Linked DNA regions of Stegostoma tigrinum. The protein of the gene in region 2 interacts with the protein of the main gene of each other region in a pairwise test. Links are inferred from orthologs where the notes say so. Each region holds a gene or a part of one and is shown on either strand. Other genes may lie near its edges.

What was found.
Region 1: the proteins of nav2a (region 2) and pias2 interact in binary tests that used the Homo sapiens proteins (3 or more experiments, as listed by UniProt). The two-hybrid records come from large-scale screens. The link is inferred for Stegostoma tigrinum from reciprocal best matches to the Homo sapiens genes NAV2 and PIAS2.

Annotation. Positions count from the first base shown.
Region 1 is NC_081354.1:161,550,075-161,558,079, reverse strand, and holds the start of pias2 (E3 SUMO-protein ligase PIAS2), read right to left. Parts: upstream 3,005-8,005; 5' UTR 2,906-3,004; coding exon 2,756-2,905; intron 2,662-2,755; exon of another isoform or gene 2,567-2,661; intron 1-2,566. UniProt on the Homo sapiens protein: Functions as an E3-type small ubiquitin-like modifier (SUMO) ligase, stabilizing the interaction between UBE2I and the substrate, and as a SUMO-tethering factor.
Region 2 is NC_081370.1:59,651,441-59,659,453, forward strand, and holds the start of nav2a (neuron navigator 2), read right to left. Parts: upstream 3,017-8,013; coding exon 2,762-3,016; intron 1-2,761. UniProt on the Homo sapiens protein: Possesses 3' to 5' helicase activity and exonuclease activity. Involved in neuronal development, specifically in the development of different sensory organs.

The DNA of each region.
Region 1 (8,005 bases), on a different chromosome or scaffold from region 2:
CACTGTTGTAACCCCCTTGTTCAAGAAAGGATCAAGACAAAAGATGGAAAATTATAGGCCGATTAGCCTAACCTCAGTTGTTGGTAAAATTCTAGAATCCATTGTTAAGAATGAGATTTCTAAATTCTTGGAAGTGCAGGGTCAGATTAGAACAAGTCAGCATGGATTTAGTAAGGGGAGGTCATGCCTGACAGACCTGTTAGAATACTTTGAAGAGGTAACAAGTATGTTAGACCAGGTAAACCCACTAGATGTTATCTATCTAGACTTCCCAAAAACCTTTGATAAGGCGCCTCACGGGAGGCTGGTGAGTAAGGTGAGGGCCCATGGGATTCGAGGTGAGCTACTGGCATGAATTGAGGAACAAAAACAAAGTTGCTGGAAGAGCTCAGCAGGTCTGGCAGCTTCTGTGGAGGAGAAAAAAAAAGTTAACGCTTCAGGTCCGGTGACCCTTCCTCAGAACTGGCATGGATTGAGGATTGGCTGTCTGACAGAAGGCAGAGTTGGGATAAAAGGCTCTTTTTCGGAACGGCAACCGGTGACGAGTAGTGTCCCGCAGGGTTCAGTGTTGGGGCCGCAGCTGGTCACTTTATATATTAATGATCTGGATGAAGGGACTGGGGGCATTCTGGCAATGATACGAAGTTAGGTGGACTGGCAGGTAGTACTGAGGAGGTTGGGAGGCTGCAGAAACATTTAGACAGTTTAGGAGAGTGGTCCAGGAAATGGCTGATGAAATTCAACATGAGCAAACGCGAGGTCTTGCACTTTGGAAAAAAGAATACAGGCATGGATTATTTTCTAAGCAGTGAGAAAATTCATAAAGTCGAAGTACAAAGGAATCTGGGAGTGTTGGTCCAGGATTCTCTAAAGGTTAACTTGCAGGTACAGTCAGTGATTAAGAAAGCGAATGCCATGTTGTCGTTTATCTCAAGAGGGTTGGAATATAAAAGCAGCGATATGTTTCTGAGACTTTATAAAGCTCTAGTTAGGCCCCATTTAGAAGACAGTGTCCAATTTTGGGCTCCACACCTCAAGACAGACAACCTGGCACTGGAGCGTGTCCAGCGAAGATTCACATGGATGATCCCTGGAATAGTAGGCCCAACATACGATGAACGGCTGAGGATCCTGGGATTGTATTCATTAGCGTTTAGAAGGTTGAGGGGAGATCTAATAGAAACTTACAAGATAATTCATGGCTTAGAAGGGGTGGACTCTGGGAAGTTGTTTCCGTTAGGCGAGGAGACTAGGACCTGTGAGCACAGCCTTAGAATTAGAGGGGGTCAATTTAGAATGGACATGAGGAGACATTTCTTCAGCCAGAGTGTGGTGGGCCTGTGGAATTCATTGCCACGGAGTGCAGTGGAGGCCGGGACGTTAAATGTCAAGGCAGAGGTGATAAATTCTTGATCTCGCAAGGAATTAAGGGCTATGGGAGAGTGCGGGTAAGTGGAGTTGAAATGTCCATCAGTCTTTAGAGTGGATGCAGTGGGCCGAATGGCCTTACTTCCACTCCTACGTCTTATGGTCTTATCTTAAGTTTCACATTTCCAAAAATCATTTCGCCACTAAACTGCATTTTAGCACTAGGTTATCATCTACACCTTTCTGACCTTCAAGTGATTTAAACTCAGGTAAATCATTATTTCAGCACTAAGCATATGTAAGTTGCTTGCAGTCTGGTAACATTGTCAACCCTCTTCCTTGTTTTCCATCGGTTCACTGTTAACACCTAATGACAAATGTTTGATGGAATCACATTAATGACAGTACTTTATATTCTTAAGCTTTTGACATAGGCAGCACTCACATTGCACCCAGCTGGACCCAAATATCACCTAGTGTTTTATTTAAATCAGGTAACTTGACCTAACAGCAGATATCCCTTATTAGGATTCAAAATATCCAATCAGATTATGACACTTGATGTTTGACTAATCAAGTGTTTAAAAAAAACGGAGGACCAGGGTTTTTTCCATTAGGGAAACTTGGCATGGCTAATTTGTCACAAGTTTAAGACGACGGGAACAGACAGCTCTGTTTGTAAAATGGGGAATCTTTTATGAGTAAAATTTTACTTTGAGATGTTCATTCAAAAGATACTTGTATATTAAATCTTTTATTTACTCAGATAATACAAAAAAACAAACTAAAGATCGGAGGAATTCGCACCATCAAAAATACAAACCAATCATGAAAGCAAAAATAACTTAAAACATCCGCATTAAAAGATACGTAAATTGCTGTCTAAAACTTAAAAGACAAAAGAACGCGGCAGGAAATAAATCACCGAAAACGCAGTTTAGTGAAACGAAAACTTAAACTAATCAGGACTAAATTCACTTCAAGTATCGGCGATAGCCTCCTCACAGAGTAGATGCCCGGAGAAGAAAAGGCGGGGGCAATTGTCAAATCAAAGGCCTAACGGCCCGGTCACCAACAGCGAGGTGGGCTGTCCAGATTATTAAAGGTCGGCTGATTTGTTTCATATAAATTTTCTCGCGGCGGCCAATTAGTTGTTAAGGTTCCGGTCTGAGGATTTTTTTTTTAAAAATCTAATTACCAGGAACGCTTCCCTGGTTGGGGTAGCTCGTTCCTCAGAGTCATGCCTTGCCTCTTTCACCTTGGCCCGCCGTTTCGAGCTGGGCACCTTCTCTTCTCCAGGTTCTGCTCCTGCCCGCCCCCTCCCTCTCCTTCTCCTTCTCTCTCTGTCTCTCTCACTCCCTCTTCCCTCGCACACTGAGCCACTCACCCTCAACTCGTCAAAATCCGCCATCTTTCGGCCCGTCCCATTATGCACTGCAGTGTGGCGTCTCGTTCGACGTCGACGGCGTGACGTCATCTTCACCCTTGGCCACTCCTTCACGCTCCAAAATTTGCTGCAAGACTTACTGGCTACCATGCCAGATACTCACCCTGATCACTGTACTGTGAGATATTGCTATCGTCTCTTGAGGCTTAAAGGCCTGTAAGTTGCACCCCACCAGAATGGAGGGAAACGTAAACAACAATGGGTAGATCCAAGATAATAAAGTGTGGAGCTGGATGAACACAGCAGGCCAAGCAGCATCTCAGGAGCACAAAAGCTGACGTTTTGGGCCTAGACCCTTCATCAGAAAGGGGGATGGGGAGAGGGTTCTGGAATAAATAGGGAGAGAGGGGGAGGCGGACCGAAGAGGAGAGTGTAGGTGGGGAAGTAGGGAGGGGATAGGTTAGTCCGGGGAGGACGGACAGGTCAAGGGGGCGGGATGAGGTTAGTAGGTTGGAAATGGAGGTGCAGCTTGAGGTGGGAGGAGGGGATGGGTGAGAGGACGAACAGGTTAGGGAGGCGGGGACGAGCTGGGCTGGTTTTTTGATGCAATGGGAGGAGGGGAGGATCTGGGCTGGTTTTCGAATGCAGTGGGGGAAGTGGAGATTTTGAAGCTTGTGAAGTCCACATTGATACCATTGGGCTGCAGGGTTTCTAAGCGGAATATGAGTTGCTGTTCCTGCAACCTTCGGATGCCGATGTGTCAGCCAACAAGTAATCTCAACGCTTAAGGAGAATACGGTTAGTTCCCCACTGTACAATCCCCTTTCTTTTCTGCATTTCCAACAGAACAATATTTCTAACTGTATCTGAAAATCAACATCTGTCTGAACACCACGTAAAACATGAAAGCAGGTTGTGAGCAATGCTGCTTGGCCTGCTGTGTTCATCCAGCCTCACATTTTATTATCTTGGAATCTCCAGCATCTGCAGTTCCCATTATCTGTGAGCAATTGCCTCCTTGCTTAACATTCGACTGTCAGTCAGAGACAAATCCTTCATCAGCAGTAAAGAGACCCACACTTTGATGGTGGTGATACCCTCATCAAAGTGTTGGAGAAATGAGCATCTTTGCTATTCCAGACACTTAATTTTACTATTTACCACAGCATGTACTTGTAATGATTTTAATATTATAAAACATTCCAAAATTCTTCAAGACAGCCTAACTAGACAAACCAATATACTGAGCCAAAGAAGTATACACTAATAGAGGAAGAGGAAGGTGTAAATGGGTCATAGTGCTTTTACTCCAAGTACTGAGCATAAAAGGAGATATGTCAACTGGAACTTGAGTCTGTAAGGTTTCAGCAAATGTTATCTCTTATTTTGCCTTGTAAATAGTTACATTTAACAAAACAATTCTGATAATGTTACAGTATAATTAATCTTATGACTTAACTTTTAAAAACCTTACATTTCTATAGCAGGTTTTAAGAAACATCTGAAAATGATCAACATGCAGAGTTAAGGGAAGAAGACAGGAGAATTGGATTAAGTAAATTGCTTACTTGGAGCAGATGTAGACACCATGGGCTGAGTCACTTTCTGCATTGTACCAATTCTGTAACCTTTAAGGAAGTGAGGTAATTTTAGTTTGGTAACAAAATTAGGGTTGGAGCTGAGAGAGCAAAGTGCGGCAGTTTCAGAAGGAAACAGATTAGTGTGGGTGAGAGGAAATTAAGATAGCCGATGCCATGCTGGCAGTTTTTAACAAAGAGAACGAGGGAAGGGGTCCAAGTGGAGGGTGAATACTGGAGACAGGTGAAGGGATCAGTGGAATGGGGTGTGGATGGGCATTGTGGTGGTGAATCCTGACTGAGAAAGTGAGCACAGAGACAGAGGTAGCAGAAAAACAGTTCGACGCCATGGTGAGCCCAAAATCCATTAAGGTGAGGCTGTAGGGGTATGAAGCTGAACTTTGCTTTCTCAAGTCCAACTCTAACTTTGGTATAAAACCCACCAACAAAGGTCATCTAGACTCCAAACGTTAGCTTGCTTTCTCACCATAGATACTGCCTGACCCACTGTGATAGCCAGCATTTTCTGTTTTCAGTTCAGATTCCAGCATCTGTAGTAATTTTCTCTGAGATAGAAAACAGCAGTCTTTGCGATGAAAATGACATGAGGTAGAAATAAACACAGAGAATTCTAGAAGACTCAGCAGGTTTGGCTGTGGAGAGAGAAACAGTTAATGTTTTGCGACTTCCTCAGAACCGAAGTCATAGGCAGAAAGCTCAGTGTGTGATCAACTAGACTGCAGACTTTGAAACAGTGACCAGGGAATGGAATCAGTGTCTGTGGATTGAAGCCTGAGAAGAGGACCAAAGGCATTTTTTTCCTGATTTCCCGGTGTTTAATTGAAAAACATCATCTAGGTTATGAGCAGACTTTAGAAAAACAGTTTGAAAATATTAAGACAGCAAAACATGTTTAATTGTATACGAGTGATGGGCATTAACTGAATACCCTTAATTTGCTTGTGCTCATAACTATTTTCTTATTAACTGAAACTGTGGGACAAAGTATATGAAATACTGAACTCCATCAGCTGTAAAGGAAGGGAATAGAAACTCATTGAGGAAAATACTGGCTACTGTGCAGCCATTAATTGCCAGTTGGCCCAGTAATAGGATGGAGGTAGGGCTTCCATATTTCAAGAACTTGGAAAGCTGTCGGCCAATCAGAAACTGGCAGCTCTGGCATTTCCACCAATAGTATTGCAACAGTGAGTCAAATTACAACAGGAAGATAGAGGGCTTGGTGACGTGTTGCAATGAAAACAATCTGGCCCTTAACATTGGCAAAACTAAAGAACTAATCATTGATTTCAGAAAGAAAGTAGGAGAACATGTCCCCATCTATATTAATGGAACTGAGGTTGAAAGGGTGAAGAGCATCAAGTTCCTCGGAGTGACAATAACTGACAACCTGCCCTTGGCTTCTCATGTAGATGTGACGGTCAAGAAGGCACAACAATGCCTCTTCATCATGTGGCTCAGGAAATTTGTCATGTCCATAAGGTCCCTCACCAACTTCCACAGATGCACCATTGAAAACATACTATCTGGGTGCTTAACGGCCTGGTCTGGCAACTGCTCTGCCCAGAACCATAAGAAACTACAGAGCGTGGTGTGCATAGCCTGGACCATCACAAAGCCAATCTTTCACGGTGGCTCAGTGGTTAGCACTGCAGCTTCACAGCACCAGGGACCCAGGTTCGATTCCAGCCTCAGGTAACTATCTGTGTGGAGTTTGCACATTCCCCCCGTGTCTGCATGGGTTTCCTCCGGGTGCTCCAATTTCCTCCCACAGTCCAAAGATGTGCAGGCTAGGGGGATCAGCCATGCTAAATTGCCCGTAGTGTTCAGGAGCGTATGGGTTATAGGGGGATGGGTCTGGGTGGGATGCTCTAAGGGGCAGTGTGGACTTGTTGGGCCAAAGGGCCTGTTTCCACACTGTAGGGAATCTAATCAAAACCAAGCACCAGGAGCACCAAGCTTAGGGCCTTGGGTAATGGTGCTCCATGCCTTGATGGGAGAGAAATCTGGAGGAGTTACACCTTGGGTGGTTGTCCCCCAATGTGCCTAGGCTGCCTACTAGGGTGGTTACCAAATACCAGCTACCAACCCATTCTGCTGGACTGAGGACTTAGTGTGGGCCTCTCCCACTGCTAGTTAATTCTTAGAGCTAGTGTGAAGAGAGCCTTAAGTGAAGAAGGGTCCAGACCTGAAATGTCAGCTTTCCTGCTCCTTCGATGCTACTTGGCCTGCTGTGTTCATCCAGCTCTACACCTTGTTATCTTAGGACAGAAACCAATACTTGTCTTGGGAACTGCTCTTTATCAAGGCGATCTTCAAGTTGCAACTGTTGTGCCTAAGAAGAAATTTTGCTTAGAACAGTGAATACATGATATACTGAAATTTGCTCAATAAGATATGTATAGGTGGTTATGGATAAATTTGCAAAATATGGTAAGACACGAGAGAAGACAGCCTACACTAATTTTTGTAAAGTTTTTGACCAAAGCTTCATGTGGCCCGTGTAAATAGCTGGAAGTTATCAAAATGCATGGTTAAGTTATATATTTTTTCTTGGTCGGCATGACTCAGCTCTAAGATCCACAAAGGGTTAAGTATAAGTTTCACAGAACTATTTTTCTGTAACTAAGGTGTGAGACACATGTTACATGTCGTTTTCAATGTTTGTAATACATTTCAGGAGTTCAAAATAACTTCAGCAGCAAGCCAAGACTCAGTCAGCACGGTGGCTCAGTGGTTAGCTCTGCTGCCTCACCGCGCCAGGATCCTGGTTCAATTCCACCCTTGGGCGACTGTGTGGGTTCCTCTGGTGCTCCAGTTTTCTCCCACAGTCCAAAGATGTGCCGGCTAGGTGGATTGGCCAGGCTACATTGCCTGTAGTGTCCAGGGATATTAGGGTTAGACGTGGGAAATGCAGGGGTAGGGGAAGGAGTCAACATAGGATGCTCTTTGGAGGCATGGTGTGGACTTCTTGTACCAAATGGCCTGTTTCCACACTGTTGGGGTTCTGTGATTCAACTAGTTTATAATCAATATTAAGGAAAGACCTGGGGAATGAAAATTAAATATTTTTACAAATGTGATAATGACGGATTTTCACCATAACAAACAGCCACTTAATAAATTTCTATTATTGATAGTTTATTAAGGGAGGTGTAGGAAAAGTAGTTTACCCTTCTCATTTGTGTTATTGTTTAATTTCTAACATTAACTTGAAAATTAACATTCATAAAGACATGAAAATATACATTGAATAATAAATGGACCAATGAAATGAAATGAAATAATATGAAATATAAGTCACCTCTCATCCTTCATCGCATCAATGAAAAAAGCCTTGGCTCTCTCAACCTTACCTCATAAAACCTCCCCTCCAGTCTGGCAGCATCCTGGTAAATCTCGTCTGCGCCCTCTCTAAAGCTTCCACATACTTCCTATAATGAGGCGACCTGCTAATGAAAGCCAACACATCACACACCTTCTTTACAACATTATCAACTTGTGTAGCAACTTTGAGGATGTGGACACCAAGATCCCTCTGTTCCTCCACACTACCAAGAATCCTGCCATTAACCCTGTATTCTGCATTCAAATACAACCTTCCAAAATGAATGACTTCACACTTTCCTGGGTTGAATTCCATCTAGCACTT
Region 2 (8,013 bases):
TGTTGCAGTCTGGAAGTATGTTCCACAGCCCCCTTTTAAATGTATTTGCCGCTCTGTCGCATAAGTCATAAAGCCAGAAGATGTAGGAATGGAAGCAGGCCATTCAGCCCATCAGCTCTGCTCCACAATTCACTGAAATCACGGCTGATCTGAAAATCCTCAACTCCACTTTCAAAGCCTTTATATTTCTTACAGTTAATCTTGTACCTATATTTTCTAAAGCCTCTGAGCTACCTATAATATTGAAACATAATTCATTTCTTCATTAACGTGTTCAAATCCTCAACTGCCCTGGTCAAATCAGCAAACTGTCAGTTTTTTGCAAGTCTTTTGTCACATTCTTTACATCCTTGTAGGTAAACCCCTGACGCTACTCATGGTCTCATCCATTTGTGGGGTCATTTTAATTATGTTTTATGATCCCCTAATCCCACCCCCCTGACCTGAAAACTATCCCAATTCAATAATGTGATACTGGCACATTTCATTTTCTCATATTGAGTTCCCCTGTACCCCACTCGCCATCTCTCTTTCCAACTCCTCCCAGCCTGGAGTTTGCTTTCCTCAGTTATAATTTAATGAGCCCAGCTGACCAATTTGCCAAGGCAAATGTTTTGATGCTTTTTCATCAAACAACACGTGGCTCTCAAATATGATTCTGAGTTACAATTGAGAATACAGATCTCAAATAAAGAAACAGTCTTACTGCCATAAATGGTGACCATACAGCAATTTACACCTTCACTCATCACAGGAATGCACACAAAAAAAGCAAAAACACTCAGTCTTTTTATAAATTGTAATACAATATTTGATGGGTCAACAGACATAAAAGCTTCATTTTCTTTTCCATATCTTCCAACATTCTCCCAATTTTCCCTGCCCAAAATTGGTAATGCTGCATTATAACAAATGGAAGCTTAGAGTAATCTCAGCCTTTAGCTGGTTACTATTCCGAGGAGCAATTGAAACATTACCTAATTTAGCTTTCTTTGAAAGGCTGCAGAAGGCTAGATGAAACTGCAGAACAAATCTGACAAGGCTTTCATTTTAGTTTACACAATTGCAGGAGATATATTGTACCTCATCTAAGCAAAAATCAAGGCACAATTATTATTTAGCCCTTACAATTTTAGTCCTGTTTACTCACTGCAATATGCTCTCATCTAATTTCATTGAAAGTCCTGTTTTTTAAGAGATGACAGGGTTAAGCTGAAGGAATTCTCAACAGTCAGCTTCTGTGCGTTGGAGGGAGCAGCGATTGTGCACTGGTAACAAGCAATTAACTTCAGAAAGCTTGTGAAGAAGGCTCGGCCACTATCTTTGCACTAATAATAATTATTCCAATATTAGTCACAGGCATAAATCCCTTCAGATTCTGGCACCAGTCCAAAACTCTACCCTACATACTGTAGCCGGATATGTCACACTGACCAGCAGTTACAGTAGAATGTGCCGTTGATCATAAAATGCAGGGCACCTGGCCAAATCAAACTGAATGCCCTGTCATTTCACATCACTCCTTGTGGCTTTGTCATTTATTTTCCCTTTATTCAGTGACAGGGCATGGGCATACTGGCAAGACCAGCAGAGAGGAGCCTTAATTCACTGGAAGGAAATGATACAAGAAGCAATGCTACAGCGCCAGTAATATAGAATCCCGGACTAATGTTCTGAGGACATAGTTCTAATCTCACCACGACCAACGGAAGCAATCTGAATTCAGCACAAACCTGGAATTAAAAGTCAAATGCTGACAATGAAACTGTTTCCAAATGTCATTTAAAACCCACTCATTTCACCATTACCTTTTAGAGAAGGAAATCTGCTGTCCTTACCCGGTCTGGCTGACATGTGACTCCAGATCCACAGCAATGTGGTTGGCTCTTAACTGTCCTCTGGCAATTAGAGATGGGCAACAAGTACTGTGTCCAGCCAGTGACACCCCCGTCCATTGAATGAAGCAATATATTGTCCTTCCAAAGTGTTCTGCAGGGACAACTCAAAAGGGAGTTAAGGGTCAACCACATTTTTTTCCCTTTATTGATTCATGAGATGAGGGCATCGCTGGCTAGGCCATATTTACTGTCCATCCCTAATTGCCCAGAGGTCGGTTAAGTGTCAACCACATTGCTGTGAGCCTGGAGTCACATGTAAGCCAGGCCAGTTGAGGATGGCAGTTTCCTTCCCTAAAGGTCATTAAGTGAACCAGATGGGTTTTCCCTGACAATCAACAATGGACTCATGGCCATCATTAGATTCTTAATTCGAGTTATTTTTATTGAGTTCACATTCCACCATCTGCCACAGCAGGGTTCAAACATGGGTCCTCAGAACATTACCTAGGTCTCTGGATTAACAGTCCAGTGATAATACTACTGGGCCATCACTGCCCTGTGGGTCTGGAGTTACATGAAGGTCAGGACAGGTGAGGGATGTCAGATTACTTTCCCTGAAGAGCATTAGTGAACCACACAGGTATCTTCGTGATGACCATTGATCTGAGACTAATTCCAAATGTTAAAAGTTGAATGTAAACCACACTAACTATGATAGGATTTAAATCTGCATCCCAGAATATTGCCCCGTGACATTCCCAACATACCAACGCTTCCCTGAAATGATTAGCGAGAATAGGAATATTCCGCGGCTTGATAATCTCTTGCACATTTCCTCTTTTGCTAAACGCTACAATATGAATTGTTTTAAACCAGAGAGTCATGAACTGAAAGAGAATCACAGTTTTGTTTTTTTTTCTGACCTGGGTGTCAAAGCTATTTTCTGCCGTGTTGCTCTTGCCGAGTAGCAGCTTCTCCCCTTCACTGTCCAACACATGCGATGATTTGAGTGGGATCAGGCTCGAGTACATGGGCCTGGTCACTTCCACCTTGCTGCCCAGCTTCAGGTAACCAGACTGCTGCACAGCCCTGGCGCTGACATTTGGGATGGGGCTAGCAGTATGGACCGGCTTGGGCAGTCCCGACTTCATTTTCGAGGCCACGAGAATTGCTGGCATTTTTTGTGCCCCCCCCCCCCCCACTCTTCGATACGTCCTTCGCCTGCGAGCTCGCCGCAGTCGCCCCAGGGGAGTAGGAGTTAAGGTGCCTGGGAAACAGCAGCCTCCCGTACTGGAACCGGCTCTCTCTACAGTGTTCCGCCAAGGTGGGGTACTTCCTACCGTGTCACTTTCTGTTCCTCTGATTCAACCTGCTTCATGCCTCCCCCTCGCAGAAAGGGGACTTTTTTTGGCAGCTGTTGGAACAGAATGACGGTCGGGGAAAACAAAAAGATGCGATGGCTCACAATCTGTATCCCCTCTTCCTTGCAGCTCTGAAGGTCTGCAGTTTGTTTTCTCTCTCTCTCTCTGGAGTCAACCCCTCCGGTTCCTAAATCACGCCAGTCCAGTGCATAAATAACATGCCGCCTTTCTGGGTTCCTTGGACAAATGAGTGTAGAAAGTACAGTGTGTGTGTGCGTGCGTGTGCAGAATTTCCAACCCGTGCTCATAAGCCTCTCCAGCGCCTTTAGTCCAGATGCAGATGCACAGTTTTAATGCGTTAATATCCAGTTGTCCTTGGAAAGACGCACAGCATGTCCTCAGGCTGACCCGGGGCTAGGCTCAGTCAGAAGAATCGAAGGATCCCATAGCGAGCAAACTGACAATTCGGTGCGATGCAGTATCCTGGCCCTCTCTGTACATTTCACACACAGACAACTTCATGGCTGTGCTTCACCTGACAGAGACAGACAGCTGCAACCAATTCCTACCGCCTGTCGTTTGAAATGTGCACACATCCGTACCTTATGCTAGAAAGAACACAGTTGAGATCAGAAAGCAAGGCAGTGAAAAAAAGAGTGGGGGGGGGCGAAATCTGACAATACAAACGTCTGATTGGTCCAGTTCTCTCAAATCAGGAATACAAAAAAAATCACTGCAAAAAGGGAGTGTCCTAACAGACTGGGAACTGGCAAAGTGTGCCATTATTTCACTGTAGCACAAAAACCATCTGTAGCTTCAGTAAGCTCTCCTACATCTATATTACTAAAAAAAAGTCACTAGTTTTAAATTATGATTGAGTCATGTCAGTCCATAAAGGGGGGGGGGGCGAATCTGGGGTTCTTGTCATCGTTTCCCTACCCGTTGTCGGGAGATCTGGGTTCAAATCCCACCTGCTCCAGTGGCGGTTAATAATATCTCTAAATAGGTCGATTCGGGGGGAAATATAGAGGGAGGAGTAGGGTTCTTGTGGCAATGTCCTCAACTTTGGACCAGAAGAGCCGGGTTTAAGCCCCTCAGGCCCATTGAGAGATTTAAAATTGTCTACAACATGAGGGTTAAAAGCTGCACATTAAGCCGGAAGAATAACCACCCAGAGATTTAAACCAGCTCACTGTGTATCTGCAGATTAGTGCAGTGCAGACCCTCACCCGGAACACAGGTTCATTCGCCCGTTCTGGGCTAACGTGCAACTTGCAACACAGACCCTTTAAAAACCGAAAGAACGGCGATGCTGGAAATCAGAAACAGAAATTACTGGAGAAACTCAGCAGTTCTGGCAGCATCTGTGGAGACAAATCAAGAGTTAACGTTTCGAGTCCAGTGACCCTTCCTCAGATCAGTTTAAAATGTGTTCGGTTTAATGTGACTGAAACGGCATCTGTGTCACACGACATGCCTTGAATGAATGAATGACTGAATGAATGAATGAATTTACACGCATCTTTCAGGCACCCAGAATCAAAATGAGCGTTCGGAAGTGGATGCCTAACTTATGTCTAATCATCAACAGATATATCTTGGCACTTATTTCAAACCAGGGGATTTGGCATTTCAAGCCCCACGTTGTGTAAATAAACGGTTGAACTCTTAAGTCTTTCATTATCTGTTACAGGGCCGCCACTCCTGAACTGGGTGGAAATTCTATCTCCTTCCTGATGGTGACATTCATCATTTCAGCCAGAAATTTGAAAACGGATTAATCTTTTTTTTGAAATAGATGCATTCTCCCAGCTATTTGAAGCTGGTCGCTATATTTGCAAGCGCTTTGTCTGTGGAGATGTGTCTTGCTGACTCCTTGCGAAATGACAGCGCTATTGTAAAAAAAATTTTAAAATCATCCTCATACCAAGAAGACAGACCATAATTTACGGAGACGATCATTTTATAAACGAGATGCTCTAACGCCTTGATTGATCTGTACCATATTTCAATCAGGGCTAATGTGTTTTACCCTTTACCAGTCACGTGACAAAGAATGATGTCAGTATCATGAAGACATTTTTAACTCTTTACTATAAACTTCATAACTCCTGGATTTGGTTTCTTTCATCCATGTCTGCTCAGATTTATAATGCTCTAGTTCCTTCCTCGAACCGGTGTGATTCCTGCTTCTCACGCCTCCTATTTTATAGCACATTTTCCAGAACTCCCTCCCTCACAGTACTGTGGGTTTTTCTGCAGCACATGGACTGCAGCAGTTCAAGGCAGCAGCTCATCACCACCTTCTTCAGGGGCAACTAGGAGCGGGCAATAAATGCTCACCCAGACAGCAATGCCCACATCCCATGCAAAGGTAAAGTTGTCCTCCCAGAACATGGAACTGCTTGCACTGGTAAAGAGAGAGATGACAAGTGCTAGTTTAACCTGCCTCAGGCAAGGGGAGAGCTTGAGGAGAGTCTTTCACAGTAACCTCAGCCAAAGTAGGAACTGAGCTCATCTTGTTGGTATCACAAGTCAGCTATTCGGCCAACTGAGATCACCAAAGTTTCTGATTCTCAACGGGAATCAAATGTTTTCCCATTCATGTTTCTTCTCCAGCTTCATCCTAAGTTTCTCTTTAAAATGTCTCTTCAATGCTCCAATCATTTTGCTCATGACAACTGACAGCAAGGTTTAGCTCTGTCTTTAGATCTTCTGCTCTCTGAAGTTCAACAGAAGCTCAAACTCCAGTTCACTCACTTCATTTTTCTGTCCCCTTGAAATTTGTCTATCTTCTCGACAAAACATTCAATATTTGATTCATTTCAGGTTATTAAAGGAGTTTTCTCTTTATTCATTCACGGGACATGACTGTTGGTGGTAAAGTCAGCATTTATCGCCAATCCACAGTTGTTGTTCTGAAATTGGTGCGGAAACCTCCTGCTTGCAGCCTGTTTGGTGAAGGTGCACACACAATTACTGTTAAAGGGAGCAGCTCCAGGATTTTAATCCAGTGAATATAAAGGAGCACAAATATATTTCCAAATCCCATGGAATGTGCCATGGAGGGGAATCTGTAATTGGGGGAATGCATTTGCCTGGATGGGTGTATTTCAAACAACACTAAAGAAGCTCAACACCATCCAAGACAAACAGTGTGGCTTGAGTCACACCCCTTTCAACTTTCACTCCTTTAGCACTGATGCACAATGGCAGCATTGTGTACCATCTGCAAGAAAATTATTCACAACATATATCTGTGATTTGGATGAAGAAAAGTGCATGTACTACCGCCAAGTCTGCAAATAGACTCATAAAGTCATAGAACTGTACAGCATGGAAATAAACCCTTCAGTCCAACTCATCCATGCTGACCAGATATCCTAAATTAATCTGGTCCCACTTGCCGGCTATCAGCCCATATCCCTCTAAACCATTCCTGTTCACATACCCAAGCAGATGATTTTTAAAAGTTGTAATTGTAATAGCCTCCACCACTTCCTCCAGCAGCACATTTCATACACACACCACCCGCTGCATGAAAACATTACCCCTTAGGTCCCTTTTAAATCTTTCTCCTCTCACCTTAAACCTATGCCCCTTTAGCGTTGGACTCTGCTCCCCTGGGGAAACACCCTTGGCTGTTCACCTCACCGAGGCACCTCATAATTTTACAAACTTCTAAAATGTCACCTCTCAGCCTCCAATGCTGCAGGGAAAATAGCCCCAGCCTATTCAGCCTCTCGTTATTGCTCAAATAGTCACATCCTGGCAAAATCCATGCAAATTAAGTATTCCAAATGTGGCTGAACCGGAAGGGCCGAATTGTCTCCTCCTGCTCCTATCTCCTTTGTTTCTATGTACTGCCACAACATGACCTCTCAACTTCTATACTCAATGCACTGACCAATAAAGACAAGTTTACCAAACACCTTCTACACTACCCTGTTACCTGTGACTCCACCTTCAAGGAACTGTGAACCTGCACCCCACGATCGCTTTGTTCAGCAACACTCCCAGGACACTACAATTAAGTGTAAAAGTCCTGCCCTGGTTTGCCCGTCCAAACCGGTGGGAGTGTTAAACCATGGGGCATAATCTCAGATTAAGGGATTGCGTATTTTAAAAAGAGATTAGGATGAACCTCCTTTCTCAGAGGGGAGCGAATCTCTGTAATTCTTTACCATAAAGGGCTGTTGCAGTTGGGCCATTAAGTGCATTCAAGGCTGATATGGGCAGAATTTTAATCAGTAAGGGAACCAAAAGTATGGATATAACCCTTGAAAGGAAAGTGGAGTTGAGGATTATAAGATCAACCATGATCTCAGTGAATGGTGTAGCAGACTCAATGGGCTGAATGGCCTGCCTCAGCTCCATGGTCATATGCAAACCAAAGCTCCTTCACCACCACCTCTATCATCTAAAAGACAAGGCATCACATTAGAACCATACCCACTGCTGTTTCCCTTCCAAGGCACACACCAACCTGACTTATCAGGTCATTTGATCAACATTGCTGGATTAAAATACAAGAAGTCCCTCCCCATCAGAACTGTGACTATCCCAGTAGCATACAGACTTCAGTGGCTCAAACTTCCCAAGGAATGGGCAAAAAAATGTCAGCCCAGTTTGTGACACCTACATCCCATGAATGAATTTTTTAAAAAAAAGATTACGCTACTATCTGAAAATCAGAGCCAAAAATGGATCAGACATTCAACTGATGCCACCTCTGTCCCTTATTGTACACTTCTGGAGTCCTCAATATTTTAACAAGTGAGTTATTGTAGCCACAGTCAGGGTAATTGATCAAA